Linked DNA regions of Oryzias latipes. The protein of the gene in region 2 purifies or fractionates together with the protein of the main gene of each other region. This does not show direct contact. Links are inferred from orthologs where the notes say so. Each region holds a gene or a part of one and is shown on either strand. Other genes may lie near its edges.

The links.
Region 1: the proteins of nmnat2 (region 2) and fbxo45 purify together in Homo sapiens (co-immunoprecipitation; 3 studies listed by BioGRID and IntAct, with this or other methods). This does not show direct contact. The link is inferred for Oryzias latipes from reciprocal best matches to the Homo sapiens genes NMNAT2 and FBXO45.

Annotation. Positions count from the first base shown.
Region 1 is NC_019878.2:11,796,106-11,807,048, forward strand, and holds fbxo45 (F-box/SPRY domain-containing protein 1), read right to left. Parts: upstream 7,255-10,943; 5' UTR 7,034-7,254; coding exon 6,710-7,033; intron 6,036-6,709; coding exon 5,679-6,035; intron 5,605-5,678; coding exon 5,419-5,604; 3' UTR 4,699-5,418; downstream 1-4,698. UniProt on the Homo sapiens protein: Component of E3 ubiquitin ligase complex consisting of FBXO45, MYCBP2 and SKP1. Functions in substrate recognition but also plays an important role in assembly of the complex.
Region 2 is NC_019875.2:12,699,046-12,709,770, forward strand, and holds the start of nmnat2 (nicotinamide/nicotinic acid mononucleotide adenylyltransferase 2), read right to left. Parts: upstream 7,196-10,725; 5' UTR 7,086-7,195; coding exon 7,001-7,085; intron 3,339-7,000; coding exon 3,250-3,338; intron 2,853-3,249; coding exon 2,785-2,852; intron 2,548-2,784; coding exon 2,469-2,547; intron 1,000-2,468; coding exon 873-999; intron 263-872; coding exon 182-262; intron 55-181; coding exon 10-54; intron 1-9. Other genes in the region: protein FAM49B, read right to left, coding at 9,605-9,668, 9,747-9,817, 9,889-10,015, 10,126-10,205.

The DNA.
Region 1 (10,943 bases), on a different chromosome or scaffold from region 2:
GTTCGTCCTGTTGTCGTTTCTTTAAAAACATGTTAATTTTACTAACAATACAATGAGGACTGAACCTTCTAACATGACACAAACATAAACAGATCCTCTTTCATGGAGCAGCAGGTCCTTTGTGAGTTTTTTGGGGTCATTTTTGCTCCTCTGCTAAAACAGTGCACCAAATCTACTGATGCCCTCTGGTGGAACCACAATGTTCTGCGGTTTTTAGTTGTGTGTTTTTTTTCTTTCTGTGTTTTGACCTATAAGGGAGTAAGTAAGACCACCATAATAGAAAAATACACAAATATATGACAATATGAGAATGAAGTAATAAAAATAGGAAAAGGTCACAATTCTATGAGGGTAAAGTTGTAAAGTTACGATAAAAATGTAAATATTTATGTAAATAAAATCAACAAATTATTGCAAAAATGACTTATTAGAATAAAGTAAAAATATGACAAAAAAGGCAAAAATATTTATGAGAATATATTTTAAAAATATGACAAAATTCTACGAGAATGAAGTCAAAATATTGAGACAAAAATAACTATATTTTATGTGAAAGAAACAAAAATATTATGGGGAAAAATATAAAGTTGTAAGTTTATACTTCAAAAGTTGCAATTTGACTAGGAAAAAGTAAATTGATATATTTAGCTTTCAAACTGTTTCAACAATGAACCGTTATCTTGTTTAATTTATGTTGCAGACAATTCAGAGAAATAGGATGGCTTCACCTTTTTTTGTAAAATGTATAATTCTTCTTGTAAAGTTACAACTTTAAATTATAAAATAACCTTAAGATTTTTCTCGTAAAATGTTGACTTTTTTAAAATAATGAAACAACTTTATTTCAATATAATTTTGAAATAACTTGAAATAAACTATCAACTATACCAAAACCAACTAAAACTTAATAATCAAACAGTTAAACAAACTAGAAATTCATACTTTGTGAACATCATCTCTGTAAATAAAAATAACCCCAGAGTCCTCTTCACCACAATTGAGTCTTTGATCAACTTAAATGTGAATAAAAACACAATGCCAGCCTCCGCCTCATTGTGTGAGGACTTTGCAGACCACTTCAGGAGCAAGATCCATTCTGTCAGATCTAACATCATAAATGGACAGAAAAGCCTTTTTATTGGAAATGATGGCTTGATTTTACCTGAGGAAGCACTTTACAGTTTTGACCTGGATGAAGCTGCAACACTTGGTCGAGTTTTTTCCCAAGTGAATCCAACAACTTGTTTTTTAGATCCCATCCCTACTTCACTTTTTAAATCACTATACGGGTCTATTTAGAGTGAGATTTTAAATATCATGACATCCTCTCTACAGACGGGTATTTTTCCTGCTGCCTTTTAAAACTGAAACACTTACTAAAGAAATCCAATTTAGACCCTTCAGTTTTTAATAACTACAGACCTGTGTACAACTTGCCATGTTTAAGTAAGATTTCAGAAAAAACTTGTTTGTATTGAGCTGAATGAGTTTCTCTTACAAAACAACATTTTTGAGTAAAACTAGTCTGGCTTTAGAACGAACCACAGTACTGAGACAGAATTATGAATTTTCCTCTTGTGGTTGCATTGACACTCATAGTCATGCTGACCCGAAAGTCTCACTTCAGCTGAACATTTGACACATTAGTGACTTTGTGATATTTTAATTATCGGTAACTCTTATTTTTCCCTCAAGAAACTATTTCGGAGACATTTCACACTGAGTCTGACATTTTTTAGCTGAAGTATCTTTCTTTTCCTAACATTTTAAAATTTTGAGGCTAAAAAAAGAGGCTTTTATCCCTTGGGAGTTGGGTCATCTAGACCCACTAGACAGTGCTCTGAACCTTTTTTCTTCAATGATTTGTGATCTTCACTGGTGTCCATGGATTACATGAAATCTTTCCACCTTTATCCACCTTTGTCATGGTAGGGAGAACACGTCAATGTGAGGGTGGGGTCATCTAAGATAGCACAAGGGCTACAATGTCATTTAATGTCAGTTCTGGACTGTAGTGAATTTGTTGTTATACCCTTTTTCAATCTTTGGAACTTGGAGCTCTTTTTTGTGAAACCCTGAGATTTGTCTAATTCTTGTTTTCTGTGAGCTTGAATGGGATGGTCCACCTCGCTTAAAACTTACATGAATTATGAGTTGTTGATTTGATATTTCATTGCATTTATATATATATATTTTAATTTATTTACATCTGTGTTTTGGTGGTTGCTGATAGCTGTTGCCTCACTCACTTGGCCAGAAAAAAAAGCGATTTCTGATTATGCGGAGAGATTATAGGTTATAATAATAATAATAATAATAATAATTATTATAGGTAAAAAAAAAAAACCTTTTCTAACTGTAACGCATGGCAGTAAGGGTATGATCATCTGACCTGATTTTACAGTTACAGGTCCTGGAGAACAATGACAAATACATTTTCATGCATCAAAACATTCAGGTTTTCTCAAACCCTTTGACTTCCAGAATGAAGCACTTTTCAAACCAACTTGTAGCATTTCTCTGATGATGCCTCCATCATTAGCATTTCAGATTATTTCTTTATTTCAATCGTTGTAAATTGCGAGCAGACAAAAAAAGTGCCATGGGGAAAAAAAAGATCATTTTTGTGATGTCGAAACAAAGCTGGGCGGGGCACAAAGGCTCTGCTCCGCTCCATTCTAATGCATCCATTTGTAGATGAGCTGGTAACAAAACGGTATGGCTGAATAGCTCCAACATTACTCGTTAGCTTGGAGGTGTGGGGGGCTGTAAGCTAATGGAAGAGAGTGTCAATAAGGGATCATGGGATATCTGCAGAGGGCTACTTCCGTGCCAACGGTCTCGCCCACAACACAAATTTCAAATGCTGCTGCTTTGCAGAAACTATGTCCTGGAAAACGACTTGGTTTTCTTCATTTACCTAAAAGCAGCATTATCATAATTAAAAGACCACAAGGAAGTATTTGCAAGAGATCAGAAGATGTTCGGAGTGACTCTGGGCTTTGGTAACCTCATATTAAATACCCATGCACTCTATCCTTCTATATGTAAATGTCCCTGTCCCATAAGAACAATTTGCATTGGCTTAACCAAAAATTAAGCTTTGTTGTTCACCTTTCTGCATATCCCCTCAGAGGTTGCCACAGCCAATCAGCTTTCCCTGATCCACATATTTGGTTTGGCAGAAACTGTAACCCTTGTGCTATCCTAGGCACTTTAACGTTGGGAGTTGGGTCATCTAGACCCACTAAACAGTGCACTGAATCTTTTTTCTTCAATATTTTGTGAACCTCACTGGTGTCCATGGATTACATGAAATCTTTCCACCTTTATCCACCTTTGTCATGGTAGGGAGAACACGTCAATGTAAGGGTGGGGTCATAGGACAGCACAAGGGTTAAACCGGTCCGTAATTAAATGCAGTGACACATGGAACAGCTCGTTACTGTAGCACCTAGTGTCGTAGCAGAAGTATCCAACTACTCTATTGTCCCCAAATCAAACATATTTTCATTAAACTTTAAGTTGCTGCTGTAAATCCAACAGATTTATCCTCCAGTTCTTTCTGGATCCTGCTAAAAACGCTCCGCTCCTTCATCAGCTTAAACTAAAGCTACACAGAGGCCACTAGCTAAAGTTACAGTTACAGCGTGCGCTGGTGTTTTTTATTTTTCTCTAGCTCTTCTTTGCATGCTGCCGTTTTCACATCTGGGCTTTGTGAGAGACCGGCAGACTGACTTAATTTGGGGCAAATATACAAAATGAGCAGGGGAGAAAATACTTTTCCCCCCTTAACACCGGTACACACCGGGAAGAATGTTCGCCAGGCGTTATTCGCCAGCGTTTTTTGTGTTCACACCCAGGCGATTTTCGCTGACGATGAGCCGAGCGAACATGCAATTTCATTCCCTGACATTAGATGGCGCTTAATGTAAACAGAAATACTCCTGTACACAAGGTGGCGCTGCGCAACTTTACGCTTCTTAAAGTCGCTTTTCACTCAGAAGAAGAGAGCAAGTATTTACACGCTTGTCAGAATCATACAAAGAAAACATGAATATTTCAAGCACCAGTTGCTCCAAGATAGACGCCGAGTTGCATCTACACAGCCGCGAAGAAATAATGACGGACATTCTAAAATATCCCCGAACCAAGCACCAGTAGCTCCAACTGGTGCTTGGTTCGGGGATATTTTAGAATGTCCGTCATTATTTCTTCGTGGCAGTGTAGACGCTACTTGGCGTCTATCTTCTTCACTGGTATATGTGCTCAGCAAGGCAGTTTTGTGTTTGTGCGCCCCCAAGTTGTGTTTTACTGTAACTTCAGAGGCTCCAGACACGTGTGCAAAAGCGCCGTTCTCATTGGTCGAATAGATTTCGACGCGACAAACCAAAAAAAACGAACCCGAGGCGTTTTTTTAAAAAGTGACGCTTTGACGTGTGGCGTTTTTTTGCGTCGGTGTGCACACTCACATTGGTGCCCTTTGTTTAGTCACGGGGCGTTAAACGTCGGCGAAAATCGCGGGCGAAATTCGTCCCGGTGTGAACAGGCCTTTAGACAGACAACAGCATTGAAAAAAAAACTAAAATGTTTTTTTTTTAAAATATATTTTGGGTTTAATTTTGAGAACTAAGGCTCAAATAAGATCAAAGAAGGGTGTACTTTTTTTTCACGATGAAACAAAATCAACACACCCACTTTTTCATCGTGGTGGCACCATGTCGACTTTATTTACAGGCCTCACAACCATACAGTGTCTGTGGTACCGAGGATAAAACCATAAATTAAATAAATTGAACACTACAGTAGCATAATAAAAAGGACACACATTAGCATAAAACGAGAACATTTGCACCAATACTGAGGAGTTCTTTAAAAAGAGGAGATGTGATACATTTCCTCCATTTTTTACTATATAAAAATAATAAAATTAAGAAAAAAACAAAAAAACATATGACAATGGTTTGGCATAACTTCATTATAATCCAGTCACTGGTTATTAAGAGAATCCAGTGACTTGTTTTATGAACTTGTACAGCATAAAGCCACCTTTTCACTTATAATATCTGAGTAGTTGTTGTCAATAATTAGAGTAGATTTGGCGTCAGTGGAGCGGGCAGAAGACCTCAAGTGTGTGTAAAGCTGTTAGCCGCTCTGCTTCCTGTTTTGTCAACCAAACGTCAGCAGCTTAACGGTAAAAGTGGACTCTTCCACGTGGAAACCCGGACCCTTTTCATGACACTCTGCATGCACTCCTCTTCTGTAGTAGAAAACGCAAGCAGTCCTCTTTGTGGATGGAGATGCCTGGGGAGAAGTTGTCCTCCAGCGGTCTCAAACGGTTTGGATGATAGTGTGACGAAAAACAAAAAGGTCCTGCAGCTGTCTAAAGCTTATCTTTGAATAATGGAACAGGTTGGTCTAACCGTCGAGAGGCTTTCCCAGGTACACCATGGTGACTTCTGTGTTGCCATAAACGGCAGAAACAGCCGGGAAGAGGCAGGCTTTGGGAAGTCCTCGAAACGCTACTCCGAGAAACTCAAAACCCCTCTCGAAGGCTAGCGTCTTGTCATCCATGTCCAGGATCACTCGTATCCTCTCTCCAATCTGCCAACAAACAAGACGATGATGAGAAAATGAGGTTCAGGGAGGCGACATACCCCTGCAGCTCCGGCCCTCACCTGGTATTTCGGCGCGTTGTTGCACTGCGGGAAGTTCCCGCTGACCTCGCCGTTATGCAGCAGGTTGTTGTCGACCAGATTCCAGCCCCAACTTTGGTCGTCGCTGCCCAGCAGAGCCACGTAACCCTGGCATTGCATCGCCGCGCGCTTTGTGGCGATGCCTATGACTGCCACGGTGCCCAGGGGGCCTTCCCACCAGATCTCCCAGGCGTGCCGCCCTTCCATGAAGCCGATCTTGCCTCGCGCGCCGTCCGTGCTTTGGGCGATGGGGTTGCGGTGCAGCGTGAAGCCGTTCTTTTTCACATAGACGTTGCGCGAGCAGTCGTGGGAGCTCAGCGCGTGCTGGAAGGCTTTGAGCTGCAGAGAGTGGGACGCACATCACAAATGTTACAAATATGGCTTCCTGCAGGACGTTTAACTCCACCACATAACTGCGCTGGCTATAAAGTCAAAGTTTGTCTGTCTTTAATTCAAAAAACTGTTTTATATTTGAAGATAAACAATAACTGCAAAACAATTACCGCATTTACTCATTTTTCCCTATAATTAGCAACTGATATCCTGCTATCATTACCCAGCATCCCTGTTTTTTAGCCTAAATGAATAAACCCTGAAGGAAAACACGTAAAAGTTTGAACATTGAAATTGGATGTAATAAAAAAAAAAACAAAGTATAGATATATTTTAAAAGTAGACTTTCAAATATTTGGAAGATTTAAAAAGTACTTTGAATGAATTTTGCCTTTATTTGGTTAAAAATAAGCAATTATATTGTTTTTTTTATAACAAAATTATTTTTAAATGGTTTCATTTGGATAACCTGTCAATTTTGTCTGATTTAACTTCAATTATTTTAATAGCTTTTCCATTTTTTTGGTTTTAAATTGCTTTAATTTGAGTAAATATTGGTTGAAATGTACCCAATATTAGATAGCCACAACGGTATGTTAGCCTAGCATGCTAGGCTTTTCGTTATTTGGCGGGTTTTTGTGAGACTGACAGCGCCGGTCTGTCATGGTCGGTTTACCTACTTTCCCCTTGTAGGTGGGCAGGTTACACAGGACGTCAGATCGCAGAGCCTCATCGCCAAGAGTCCGGCTGCAGAGGCTGCGCCACACCTCGCTGTTTTCATCCGCCAAGACATTGTTCCAGTGCCAGCAGACCAACGAACAGCTCATCAAGTCAGCCAGTTCCAAATAGGAGAAAATGTGCTCCAGCACTCGAGCTTGTAGCCTCCCGGCCACTCCCGCGGTTGCAGCGGCGTAGGTAGAGCCGGCGGAGGAGCTGCAACTGGATGCCGCTGCTGCTGCGCCCAAACACGGGGAGCCTCCTACCCCGCCGGCCGCTCCAGACATTTGTGCCGCTGGCTCTCACCGACGATAGAAGCCGAACGACGAGTTTAACCTTTCACCGCCGGAGAACTTCAATAATTCATTTAAGCAGCAACATTTTCTTTTCTGAAAATCTTCTTTCAGGTCGCATTTCAATCAAAACAGTATGGACTCTTCCCAGTTCAACGGCTGAATGGAGACGATACGTCAAGGTCCTGGAAGATAAAAAGAAAACTATTTACTGCGTTGTTCCGCAAAAATAGTAAAATGTAATTTATTTTTTGATTTTACTTTAAATATGTCATATCAAATTAGAAAGTTGTAACTAAATACATGTAATAAGATAAATAATAAACTTGAGTCATCTTTTTTTGTGATCTGCAAAGACCAAATGGCAGCCATGATAAATGATAACAACGATTTAGCAGGCTTACAAAATTGGACATTACGTCTTTGTAGTATTAAGCACAGTGACTGTGTTACGCTGTAAAAATTAAAATTATTATTTTTAAATAATTGTGTCGCACAACTTATTAAATTATTTTTTAATCTGTTTTTGTCGAATTTATAATTTATTTATTTATACTATTTTTGAGTGATGCATTATGATAGTAAAAATAAAAACAGAAAGAAAGAAAGTATTCCGATTAAAATTGTGTGTTTAGGAATGAACGTCACGTGACAACACGGAAGTGACGCGGGGTGCTCAAAAGAGTTAAGCAAAGCATCTGGGAACAAAACATCAGCTAGCTCCAGCTTCATTTAACAGCAGAGACACAGAAGACAGTGCGGGCGGACGGTCAAGACATTCAACAGTAAGTTTTTTCGGGGGGTTATTTATGACATTTGCGATAACATCCGCGGTGATGGGACAGGCGTCACAGCTGTCTGGCTGCCTGCCTGCCTCCTGTGCAGCGCGGCCTGTTGACAAGCTTGTCCCCCCCATCTGCGTGCTGTCCGGGGACACTGGAGTGGTTTGCGCCGTCCGACGGATGATTTTTTTCTTCTTCTTCAGCTATTTGCGCGGATCCCTAATTATTTGCAAAACGCATCCAGGTCGGCGTAGGTGTTGCGGTGTCTGCTGCAGCTGGCTAAGCTAGCTCATTATAACAAAGCCCCGCTGTGGTCACCTTTCCAAATTCTTCTACTTACAGGTGCCATCTTTATTTCTACAGGCGGCATTCCTAAAGTCACCTTTAAGAGAGCACACACACAATATATATACATATGAAGATGTATTTTTAAAAGAAAACGAGCTAATATTTAAGATGCACTTTCCATCCAAAAATCTTTAACCAAATTGTATTTATATATTTTTTTCTCTTTCTCTCTCTCTCTCTCTCTCGGAGAAATTAAAGTAATAGTTAATATACGCACTGGAGAATTGTTAAACCGTTATAAATGAGTAATATTGTTTTAAAATATTTTTTAAAAATGTTTTTTCTTTTTTATTTCTTGGTTTGGGATGTCTAAAATCTACTCTTTAGTATCGTAAACCAAATATAGTAGGATATTTTAGGGTTTAATGAGCATTTTAATTCGTATCTTTTCAACCAAGTAGTGAAAGTGTTTAGAACATTTAAGTAAAAATAAATAGTTTTTAATTTAAGATTTTTCTTTCTTTCTTTATGTTTGCAAACTGATGCATGTTATTCATAATTACCGCCAGAGGGCAGTATCGAGCTCTGCTTTAAGTGATGCTGAAGAGACAGAACTTCAAACTTTCACTGGAAATAAAAATAAAAGTTAAAAGCAGACACTTCACATAATAAATCAGATTTGCACACGACAATCAGATTGATTGATTAGTTGCTTAAAGGTATATCAAGATAAAATACCTGGGGAAAGGTGATGTTTGCTTAAAGAAAAACCAAAAAAGGTCGTTGTTTGTCACTCTGATCATCAAAAAATGTAGTTTCCGCAGAGTAGCAACAGTTCTTTAGAAATTCACCCCTGAGTTGTAGCATGACTGATGGTGCGGAGCAAACCTGCCCCGTCACCGGAGCACAGAGTTTGACATCCCAAGCAAGTGTATTTCCTACGTCACAAATAAGCTTTTATTTTTTCCAACTGCATTTTTTTGTCTGCTCCCGATTCACAACAGTTTAAATAAAAAAATACTCAGAAATGCTATTATGAGCTTAATTTTCCCCATCTAAGTCCTCCATCATGAGAAAAATGCCACAAGAACATGTTAAAAATACCCAAAACACAATTCTCATCAGAGTGGGTCTTTTAAAACAACAATCTATGGTATTTGATTAAAACCAATTCATTTCTTCAACACTTTTATTTATTTATTCTACTAAACTCTTTTATATGCCTCCCACTAGGGTTGTGCCGATGGACGATATCATCGTCCATCGTGATGGGTGACTGACATCCCGATGGAGAGACCACCATCGTGATGCCACGCCCCCGCCACGTTGCGCGTCGACACCATAAGCCGCGGTTACATGTACAAAATATCTTGATGGGATCAATGGTCGGATTAGAATCCAACCGTGTAGATGGGGCCCAGAAAAATGTTTTCAGAATATAAAAACGTTCACTAAGGTCACACTTTCCATCGGAATAAACCATTCGCACATGCGCAGTAGGGTTTGAAAAACGGAAGGATATAAACTCCGCCGAGCGGCTTTTTTTTTTCAAACTTTATTGTATGTAACAATTCAATACAAAACAATGATAAACAGCGCCGAGCGGCTATATACATTGACATGTCAGCTCGGTAAAATACGAGATGATCTTCTAAACGTGCTTTTAATAATGTTACGGTTATTATGAAACACCTGTTCGCTCATCATTTGAATTTTAATCCGTGTGGTCAGTTCTTTTTCTGAACGAAGCCAGGATTAGCAGTATGCTAACACGGGCTAACAACATTAGCTTTGGGTGGCGCTGCTTGCTGGCTGCACGTAAACATGTAAGAATAACATCAGCCTTTATTTAGTCGGGACACGACTGGAAACACAAATCCGCGTGATTGTTTAAATGTTTTTTAAGGACTGAGCGACATTTCTGCTTTGAAGCTCAAACCACTGTGTGTGCTGACGATCCGAGCTGTGCACAGACACACACTTTTAGACCCGGTTCTGAGTTCGGTTGCTTGTACCCCTAGAGCTGCGGGACGGATCGCAGTCTTAAATCTCCCACACATACCGCTCATGTACCCCCCCCCCCTTCCCATCAAACACAAAGCTGTAAATCCGCACTCCCCCGGAAGTGCGGGAGCGGACTACTTCTTTTCTATTTTGTTTGTTACTTTTTTTGTTAAAGTCACCTCCCTCAGTTTATACTGGATCATCGCGGATTAGTCATCAGTAGGGAAATAAAATGAAAAAAGCAAAAAAACGAATAGCAGTTATATAAGAACGAAAAATGTAAAAAATACCCCCCCCCCCCCCCCCACGATGTCATCGTCCATCCCGATGGTTGACAGCAAACATCGTCAACGGCCAATTTAAGGGACATCGCCCAACCCTACCTCCCACCAACGCTTCCTGCCATTTCAAGTTCAACAATTTTGTTGCCAAATTTGAAATTCTAAATGATTTTAAATAAAAATAAAAACCTCATGCTGTGTCTTCCGATTGCTCTCTAATGAGATAAACAAATTAATGTATTTTATTCTCAGAAAACAAAGAGTACATTTGCTTTTTAGGCGCATATTTGACACTCGGAGGTGGAAATATCGAATCAGTTGAAAGAAATTAGGAAGGACAATGAATTCAAAACCTTTTGACTCCTGTTTTTGTTATTCCAAAGTCAGCTTTTGTAGAATAAAACCATGATCATGTATGACAAAGCATCTGATTTAAGGGGTTTATGATCCCTCTAAAATATCAGTTAGATTTTCCTTTTTACATTTTAATAGTCAGGATTTGGGTTCTTTGCACTTTTTCATGGTTTTGGGAGATCATAGTATCCTCAT
Region 2 (10,725 bases):
CCTACTCACCGATCTCTTCGTATCTCATAGTCGTTCCCAGGTTGGCGTTTTCATCTGGAACAAAAGATCTGCACTCAGTCCTTTTTCCAAAAGGACGTTTTCACAACAAACCCGTGGCCTCCATCTATGACCCGATGTGAGGAGGTGTGGAACGGCAGTGCTAACGTAGGAATTCTCTTACCAACAAAGGGAAAGCGATCCATTTGAGGTCGCACGCAGCACATCCTGCTGAGATTCTCACTGAGCTTCCCCCACACTTTCACTGGACATGAGGAAAAATCACACGGGCTTTAGTGCCAGGACAGCATATGCACCCTAAACAGTCATGAGCCGTTTTGTGAAAGTCTAATCGTAAAGAAACATTTCAAGGGTTCCCATGCAGAATTAGATATTTGGGTTTCATGCAGTGAATCATGGATTTCCTTATCCCCTTTAACACTGGAGATGTCGCCGGCACACACTAACAGAGCAATACTGTACGTGTTTGCAAGATCAACGTGAATCAGCAGATTTGGAGAAAAGTGGCTTTTTATACCGGCTTTGCACCGATATGTGACACATCACGTAGACAGAATCAGCTGATTTATGTTGACACTTCACTGCTATGTAAAGTCGGTTTCCTCTGCTTCAGGATCCGTTGTATGTAAATTGCATCAATGGTTGAAGAGTTACGGTAGTCACAAGAATGTAAACAGTGGAGCTAAAGCTCTGCTGTTTAAGGGTTAAGATCTTTTAAGTGGTTTGAAATACTCAACCTCTTTGCTTTCGAGTCAATCCCATGCACATCCCTCTAACAATGTTAAGAGTGGTCATTACTGTACTGAGTGGGAGGGAAACTAATGAATAAATGGTCTTTCTGCATGGGTGTTTACCGGCTGTAGGCTTGTGTTTCATGTTGCTGTGGTTCTGGTAGAGGGACTGGGTCTGGTTCTGTGGCTGTCCGATCACGGGGGTTGAGGATGGCGTGTTGACGTTGGACAGGATGCAGCCAGTGACTCTCTGATGAACACAAACAGATTCATGAGAGCATCTCCTCTGAGCCCTAAAGTCATCAGGGAAACCAGCCAAGTTTTTTTGGGTTTCTCCATCCTTCACATCCGCTCTATTCTTGGGCCCTTCATCATTTCTCTAGTTTTCTTTTAACTGTCTAAATTATTTGTCTAATTTCTCATCTTAATCTGCCACAAATCTTTAACATTTTGTTAAGGTCGTCTCTTCTAAAGATCCAGGTTTTCCAAACCCACCAGACTATGTGGATAATTTATGTTATCTGTACATTTAGGCCCATCCGTTCAGCTGCTTCTGTCTCGTTTCAGGAACATTTCAAGTTTACGTTCTTCTTAGTTTTCCAAATTCAGTTTCAGTTATTTATGGTTCCTTTCCTATAAAAAAAAGGGTGGAGCAACATGTCATAGCAACAGTTTAGGTCTTCTTGTTCTTCCTTTCCTTTCTTCCCTGTTGACCTACATATCAGACAGTGACGTCATGTATTGTAGGTAGCATTTTGTTAGAATTGATCCAGTATCCCAACAAGAATGTTTGGAGTTCTGACATGAACCCACATGAACCCATGGTCATGACATCATTTCTCAGAGACATAGAAGATAAGCTTTGTTTACCTGACCTTTGAAATTTATAAAAACACAAGACCTTGAGGCTCTTTTTGGGAGTTTTCAGGATGGTTGGGATATGGACGGCACATTTTGGATGTTTTAGTGATAAATGCCGAGAAGCAGGCTGTTTGGGTCATTGATTGAGGATCAGTGATTTTGCTGGTTAAAGGATGCTGAGGTTGTATGGAAAGACAGCAAAAGGACGAGGGATGTAGTGAAGAAGCCAATGAGGGAAATTTTACTGAAAGCTTGAAGTTTGGAGCTGAAACTACTGCGATCCTGCCATAGACTGTACAAATTCTGTGAAGGTCAGAGGTCATCTGTCTGTCAGAGTGCTGCCTTGCGGGGCTAATGGTGGTAACCAGAGGAAAACTGTTTTGGAAGCAAGCAAAATCAGTCCAAAAACACAAGACAGCTTCATTGAGGAGGAAAAACAAAATGGAAAGATGTTTAGACCTCATCTGACTGAGTTAAGATCTGAGTTTATAATTCCACATTTAGAATAAAACCTTTAGACAAAAATGGATCCATGAAGGAGTTCAGGGAGAAAAGACACTGCTAAGCAAAAAGAACAATAAGAAACATCTGGATTATCCGGTCTAATGAACAGATCGGACTCCAACTAACTCTTTCAGGGTCCATCTGGAGGTGGGAGTGTGGTTGTGTGGAGTTCACGAGAATGTTAAAGAGGATGAAAGTCCACCTCTGAATGGTTCAAAAACTAATTGATAGTTCTAGTTAAAGTTTGGACTCTTTAAAGATACAAGGAAGACTCACTAACTGGAATCAGTTCTTTCACTTCTTACAGCGCAATGCTATGTGCTTTCACAATCTTCTCCACAGACAAACACTCACCTTCATCAGGTCGCGGTGATGCTCCAACACACTGCAGGTGGTCTGCCAGGTGTCCTGGTAGCACTCCCAGGGGTCCACCCTGCAGAAAACAACAATCCTTCAGGAGAACATCATCCATAGCTGCTTTTAATCTATATGAAAACAATTTAGACTTTTGTTCCAGAGCGGAGAACTTATAAAGTTCTGACTGGTAACAACAACATCATGACTGGAGAAGCTTTCAATGATTCAAGGCTTTTATTATGAATTCTACAGGAAGTCCTCTGAAAGAAAACACAACCAAGCCAAATGAAATCAGAAAGTGAGTTGAACTCACCTGATCCAGTCAGAAGACTGGACGGCCAGCTGACACATGGTGAGGCGGTGTCGGCTGGACACCAGGCCCTACAGACAAACAACACAGAACCAGAATAATCACAAGACTTTTTTGTTTAGTTTCTGAGCAGCAGCAGCAGCTATCTGCAGCATCCATTATTCATGCAGAGCTTCCTGCAAGGCAAGAGCGTGCTACATCATTGGGGGTTGAGCTCCAGCAGCAACACACAAAATAAAACATGCACGCAAACACATACAAACAGCAGCAGCTGAAACGATCCAATCAGAACAATCATCACTGTTGTGTCTGGACTACAGCTCCCATCACTCGTTTGTTTTTTGTGAGCAAACACGATCGAGACCTTCTGACTGACAAATGTTGACAAATTCTGCAAAAAGTCAGACAATGGTGCTTCTACTAGAAGAACTTCAGTCTAACTTTTGGACTCATGTTGTTCATACTCACCGGTTTTCCGTATGAGTCGTGCACTGGTGAGACGATCCCTCCAATCACGATGAAGCGTCCCGTTTTGTGCAGATATTCTCTGGCTTTTTCTGCAAACAAGTCGAGGGGCATCGGCAGACAAACAAACCCAGTTAACGAAAATCCCATTTGTAAAATTCGGGATCTATTGAACCCACTTAAATAGCGGGAGTAGTTAGATAATTGTAAATTGACTATGAAAATATGAAAAAAAAATCTGACTTTATTCTTGAAAGCACTTTTTGTACTTTAGTAACCTGAAGTGCTTTACAAAATAAAAGCGTCTTTCAAACTTAAACACAAACAAGGACCCTTTATATTTAAAGAGAGATTTTAAAAATGTCCACAACACCCCAAGCCCTGCACTACCATCATAGTGAAACCTAAAATTACACATGGAAAAACTTTAAATTTGAAAAAAGAAGCAGAAAAGAAAATTTGGCTTGGTATACATGGAGTTCAAATTCATCACCATTTTATTTCAGAGAACTACGTATTTAGGTAATGATGTCACTGTCAAACTGCGGCAATATCGGAAATCATCCTACTTAGTGCGCTATATGGGACATTCTGCATTTTGTCGGAGATTCCGAATCTACAATTCCAAAATCCAGTGCCCTAGAAAATTCCCAGAAGTCTCTGTGAAAAACTACCATGCACTGATGCTCACTAGATTGACTAATACAGACCACAATGCATTACTTTTGAACAACTTGTCTTTTGAACAAGTGTATGAAATTTTATTTAAAAAAAATTGTCCAACGTTTTTCTTATCAGATCACAGTAGATTCATAAAAGGTCTTTGTAAAATGTTCCTTTTCTTTTAAAAGTCTCTACTTTGGCAAATGGGTGACGTCATATTTGGTGTTTAAAAAAACAACAACAAAGTAGTGAGTCTCCAAATCTAAAATTCACAGCACTAGATTGTCTCCTATATTAGTGGTTAAGTGGAAGTGAGGGAATTCGGACATGGTTAGTCCCAAAACTTCCATTGTGTCCTGTTGTAAACATTGATAGATGCTTGTCACTGTATCATTTTGCTTTTGTAGTGTGGAAACATATATGTCTGTAAATTAAATATAATATTGCTGTTCTCTGTTTGCACTCCATCAGAAAGGCACACCGGTTGCTTTGGACCCCTGAGCTACTCAGTGGTCTTATGTGACTTCAGGCTATACATTTTGTTAAAAAAATCCATCTATAGATATAAAAAATAAAATTATAATATATGAGGTGTAATTTATTGGATATTTAGATATAGATCGATGTCCCCTACATGTCATTGAGGGGACATTTGTGTGTCTGTGTGTGCTCTTTTCTACAGTACATGAGTTTTTCCAGTAACTTATTATTAAATAACTTTTTTTATTATTATATGGTGCTTTTGATGATGCTGTTTATGTTACTCAAAAAACCCAATAACTTAAGAAATCAGATAAAGACTGGATATTTGGTGAGCGTATTAAAAGCTTCAATAAAGACTATGTCTTTAAAACTAAGATGATCTTAGTCCAGCTATAATCTTTGGTCTGGGACTGGGCCTGAGGAATTTGTTCTGGAAAGTGTATTGATATTTTTTTAAACTTGAATCTTTTAATGTTAAGGAGGACAACTTGTTTTGTAGGTGTCTTCCTGTTTTCCAGTCAAAAGTCGGGATCAGAGTTGATGACTCATTTCTGCTTTGGTGCTGGTGTTTTTCTGTTTGGCTGCTCACGCTGATCCAAGATCTGTTCCAAAACCTTCATACCCTAACCACTCCTTATCCCACAAAAAGTGCAGGTCTTTCTAAAGTCCTGGATTGGAATTACATTTTTTTGTTTTTGAAACGGCAAATATGACGTCACCCATTTTCGGAAGTAAAAACCTAATAAATATGAACATTTTATGAAAGACTGTTCATGGATCTACTGTGTACTGATCAAGGAAATTTGGATTATTTACAGAAAATACATTTACAATCATTTTTTTCAAATGACAAATCATTCAAACACAATGCATTGTGGTCTATATTCACCAATCCAGTGAGCATTCGTAGAGTTCGTAGAACTTCAAAAACAAAAGACCATGACTTCTGCAGACCAGAACTTCAGATTGACCAGGACTTTAGCAAAGACCAGAACTTTAGCTGGATATAGACCTCGTCAGGATTATGACTTCAGCAAAGACCAGAACTGTATCATAGATCAGACCAGCATAGACCAGAACTTTATCATAGATCAGACCAACTTAGACCAGGACTTTATCATAGATTAGACCAACTTAGACCAGAACTGTATCATAGATCAGACCAACTTAGACCAGAACTTTATCATAGATCAGACCAACTTAGACCAGGACTTTATCATAGATCAGACCAACTTAGACCAGGACTTTATCATAGATCAGACCAACTTAGACCAGGACTTTATCATAGATCAGACCAACTTAGACCAGGACTTTATCATAGATCAGACCAACTTAGACCAGGACTTTATCATAGATCAGACCAACTTAGACCAGGACTTTATCATAGATCAGACCAGCATAGACCAGAACTTTATCATAGATCAGACCAACTTAGACCAGAACTTTATCATAGATCAGACCAACTTAGACCAGGACTTTATCATAGATTAGACCAACTTAGACCAGGACTTTATCATAGATTAGACCAACTTAGACCAGGACTTTATCATAGATTAGACCAACTTAGACCAGGACTTTATCATAGATCAGACCAACTTAGACCAGGACTTTATCATAGATCAGACCAACTTAGACCAGGACTTTATCATAGACTAGGAATAGCAAAGACTAGGTCTTCAGCTGGATCAGAACTAGATAAAAAAATATTATCGGAAAAAGCTTGTTGATGTGCCATAGACACAACGGGAGGACACAAGCTCCCAGCTCTGCTCAAGTCTGATGCATCCACTTGTTGACACATAGATCCGTGTACGTCTTTATTTTCCTCGTCTGAGCTGCATCTGGCTATAAACTGCACGGCTGGATAGCTCCAATATTTTACCATTTTTGGTGAGCAATATTGTAATGTTAGGTAAGGGGTGTGAGGAGCTGTAAGCTAATGAAAGAGAGTGTAAACAAATGGATGAGGGGAAATAAAGGCGGGCTTGCCCCCAACTCAAAGGTGAATTCTAAAGATGTCCTGCCACTCTGCAGAAACTATGGCCTAGAAAACAATACTGGTTTATTGATTTTGGATAAAATTCTTTCACAATAGATCAAAAGAGGATTTAAGGTGGGACTTTACCAGAAATAAACCATGACTTCATCAGTGAGCAGGATTTCAGCAAAAACAAACCAAAAGCTCCAGCTCTAAAGCAAAGCTCTCAGAAGTGTATCAGACAGAAACATCCATCACTTAGACTCAGATGTTTGTCTGCAGGTAAACAGACCTCATCTGTGTGTTCTGACTCTGTTCTGGGGTGGGGTGCGGCTTGATCAACCAACCATCGTCATGGTCATCGTCGGTATCAAACAGAAATGGGACTCGGATGGAGGCTCCCATCCTGCTCTGACTCATCAACCCTGGTGGATTCTGGGTCGGCCCGCAGAATCTCGGCAGGTCCGGATCATCGGCGCCACAGGATTGAGGCCCGGACCCCGAATCCCAGACCCAGTTCTCTGCTGGTTCTCGGCTTGAACCGAACATGTCAGGCCAAGCCTCCAGCTCATCATCGGAACCGAACCCGACCCCCCCCCACCACCACCACTCCCACCCCCGCAGCCTCACCGAACATGTGGATGTGTCCTTTGGTGATGGGGTTGAAGCTGCCGCACGAGAGCAGGATCACGTGCGTTTTACTGCTTTCCGTCATGGTTCCCGTTCGGTTCCGAGTTCCGGTCCTGGCGGGTCCGTCTTCGCCCGGAGGAGAGCAGAAAGATGCTGCGGCAGGAGGGTGGAGGGAGGGCGGGGTCGTTAAAGAGACAGGCACACGGAGGAAGGGGGCGGGGCTTGTGAGATGCCACCTTAGGGCCCCCCTCCCTCCACCCCCTGCCCCAGACTCCATTATGAGATATAATTAAAGAAACACGCGAACAAACGACATTGGTTTGTCCCAGATCTTTCTTGACGTTCTTATGGGAAGAGTTTGAACCAAATCAGGAGAAGATAACAAGCTATGACAAAGATTTTTATTAAAATGGGGTGCAGGGAAACGGGGCCTCTGAAAGCACTGGGGACCCCCTTCCCCTCCCCTCATCCATGAATCCCAGTGTGGGAATCTTCAAGTGAAAAAAAGAGCAGAGCAGCTATTTTTACCAACTGAGGATGTTCCTCTCCAGCTCAATCCACTGAGTCTCATTGTTTGATTTAAAAATACATACAAATCTAGAAAAATGTGACATTGATAATGATTGATTAGACTCCTATCAGCCCTCCCAGCACACACAGCAGGTATCCTGAATTTCTATACGCTAAACTCTTTGGTCTTTCGGGTTCCTCCGTCTGCTGCCTGTTCTCTCACTGCTGCAGAGATTTACATATCTATTCTAAAAGCAGGTGTTCCACTTTTCCTGTGCTTGTCTTTCTCTTTACTGTCTTCTCAAAGCCCAACCAGTCAATCTGAAAAACGTTTTTTAAACTATTTGATTTACTTTAACGGTTTCGTGGCACAAATCTGCCCCCCCCCCACACACATTATACTGTGGTGTGAGGAAGTTTTTGACCCTCTTCAAGATTTCTTATTTTTGCCATGTTTTCCACACTTAAATTTTTCCTATCATCAAACACATTTAAATATGAGTCAAAGACCACACAAGTAAATGTATAATGCAGTTTTCAAATGATTTTTTAGTATTACGGGAGAAGAAAAAAAAACTTTGGAGTGGCCTAGTCAAAGTCCTGACCTGATCCAATGAAATGCTGTGGCGTGACCTTAAAAAGGCAGTTCATGCTCGAAAACCCTCCAATATTGCTGAATTACAACAATGCTACAAAGATGAGCAAGCCGAAAATCCTGCACAGCGCTGTGAGAGACTCATGGCAAGTTATCGCAATCGCTTTATTGCAGTTGCTGCTGCTAAAGGCTAACTGAATGTTTGATGTAGATGGCAATCCATATTTCACACAGGGCAATAAAGGTTTTATTTATTTTTTTTTAAAAATAACTGCATTTTATTGTTAATTGTGTTGTCTTTGACTCATTTTTAAATGTGTTTGATGACAGGAAACATTTAAGTGTGAAAAACATGGAGAGAAAAAAATCTTGAAGAGGGGCAAAAACATCTTCACACCACTGCATGTATTTATATATATATATATATATATATATATATATATATATATATATATATATATATATATTCAACTGAGACATCAACAGTCGAAACAGCTCGATGCTGAACCTGTGCCTGCTCTGCTCAAGTGAATTTAAGGTAAGGCGATTTGCCTTCTGGTTTTTAAAGTCGAACAAGACAGAGAACCAACACAATTTTCTTAAGAATGTAAAAAAAACCCACTTTATTTGATTAAAAAAAATCATCATTGATAACCATTAATTACATAATTCTCTACAGAATGAACAAAGCAGATTGAAGCCCCCCTCACTCAGGATGTCTAAAACCCGTTTCTCCAGGAGTCCCCAGGGAGCCCAGGTCACCTTAAGTTGACTTTAAATTTGTGCGGTGTTACCATTGTAGCACAGACCTACATTTCTTCTATTCAGCTCAGCTGATTTCTGTCTCAGAGTACGTTGGCTTGAAGTATGACCCCCAGCCCCCCTTCCTCACCGCATGGTTACACCTGTGGTTGTGTATTATCTTAGACGGGTATGACAGCTGGTTTATTTCTGTCCGCTGTGAAGCTACACAACTCCTACTTTTTGGGCATTTCTGAATGAAACTCTTAACTTTTATGGTTGAAAAAAGGTTAAAAAATATATAATAAAATAATCCACCCCCTAGCCAGCTGGTGCAGGTGCAATGAGGTATGAACGCGGTAGAAACTCTTACTAGGAGCTTCTTCCTCAGCGAATTTCAAATAGACTAATGGATAAAAACAGGTGATGCCGTGATAAGAAATTCTTACCAGCAGGTGGTATAACACCTGGGTTTTTGTTTGTTTTGTGTAAATACTTTGTAGCTGTAAACAAAAGTACAGCATTTTTGTACATATTGGGGCCTGGGGGGGTCATTTTGGACTGTCTATCTCCATTCACTCCAGACCTGACATGTAGCAAGTACGACCCGTTACAAATCGTTTCCATTTTTTCTACAACAACAAAAAACTTTCTACTTTAGAAATCAAAAACAATAATGGCACAGAGATGGACAATTGTTCCTTTGAAATCTGGACCAGAGTACTTCAGGTTTCCAGCCTCAGCAGGGCCGCTCAGTTCTACTGCAGCATGTTTCGGATCTGCTTGGAGGTAGTCTCGTCGTTCAGGTGTTTGGTCGTGTACCTGCAGGCAGATCAGACAGAACTTTTCTAACTTTACTGTATAACACATACTTGAAGGGGCGTTCAGCAGTGTACGGACCTGAGAGCGTTCAGCAGACCCTCCACGCTGCTGGGGGCCTGCTCCCTCAAGACCCGGATGCAGCCTTTCATCTGAGGGACACAGAAAGAAGGTCAGACAAGAAGGGCTGGGAGTGGTGCCGAATCTCTGGCTATTAACGCACATCGATGTTGGACGTCTTCACGAAGGCGCCAGCTGGGTGAACGTGGTCGTACAGGATGATGACCCCCACCATCACACGCAGGCAGAACAGCACTGTCTCTTCGCTAGTGAAGCGGCTGCGATACTCCCTGCGCTCACACAGAGACACATACATGACCAAAAACACCAAAATAGAGTTCCAGAGTTGTGGTGATGCATAAACATTTGGTGATGGATTCATGAACTAATCAGGACTCACGGAGTTTCCAGCATCACTTTGCACACACAGGCCATTGTGCTCAAACAATCCGTTGTGTTTTCAATGGGTACGTCTGGATTCTGGACAATTGGGTTTAATTCACACAAAAAAAGACAAGCAATGGTTTATTTTTTTGTACTAACTTTGTAGTCAAAACTCTCACAATGACGACAGTTAAAGTTTCCAATTCACAAGAAAAATGTTTAAATGTAAAAATGCTTTAAAAATACAGACCACTGTCTAAATGGTCTTCATGAACACAACAGATAATATAATAGTGTTTAAGAGTGAGTCTTAAAAACCACACCCTGACAGAAGTGCAAGTTTAAAGAGTTAACTCAACAAACTGACTTTTCAGCATAAACCTCAGAAAGGTCTAATGTTGCTCAAAGACCCACTGTAATGATCATTGTATTTTTAGTGGGTTACATATTCTTGTAGCATTTTTCTCACAATAAAGGACATATATAAAATAATTCAAAATTAACACTTCATTTCTGAGAATTTCGTTTTTCTAATTTGGAGGAATCAGAAGCAGATAAAAAATTGTCATTTGAAAAATCTCTCAGTTTTGACATAGAAAATTAAAATGGGCTGGCC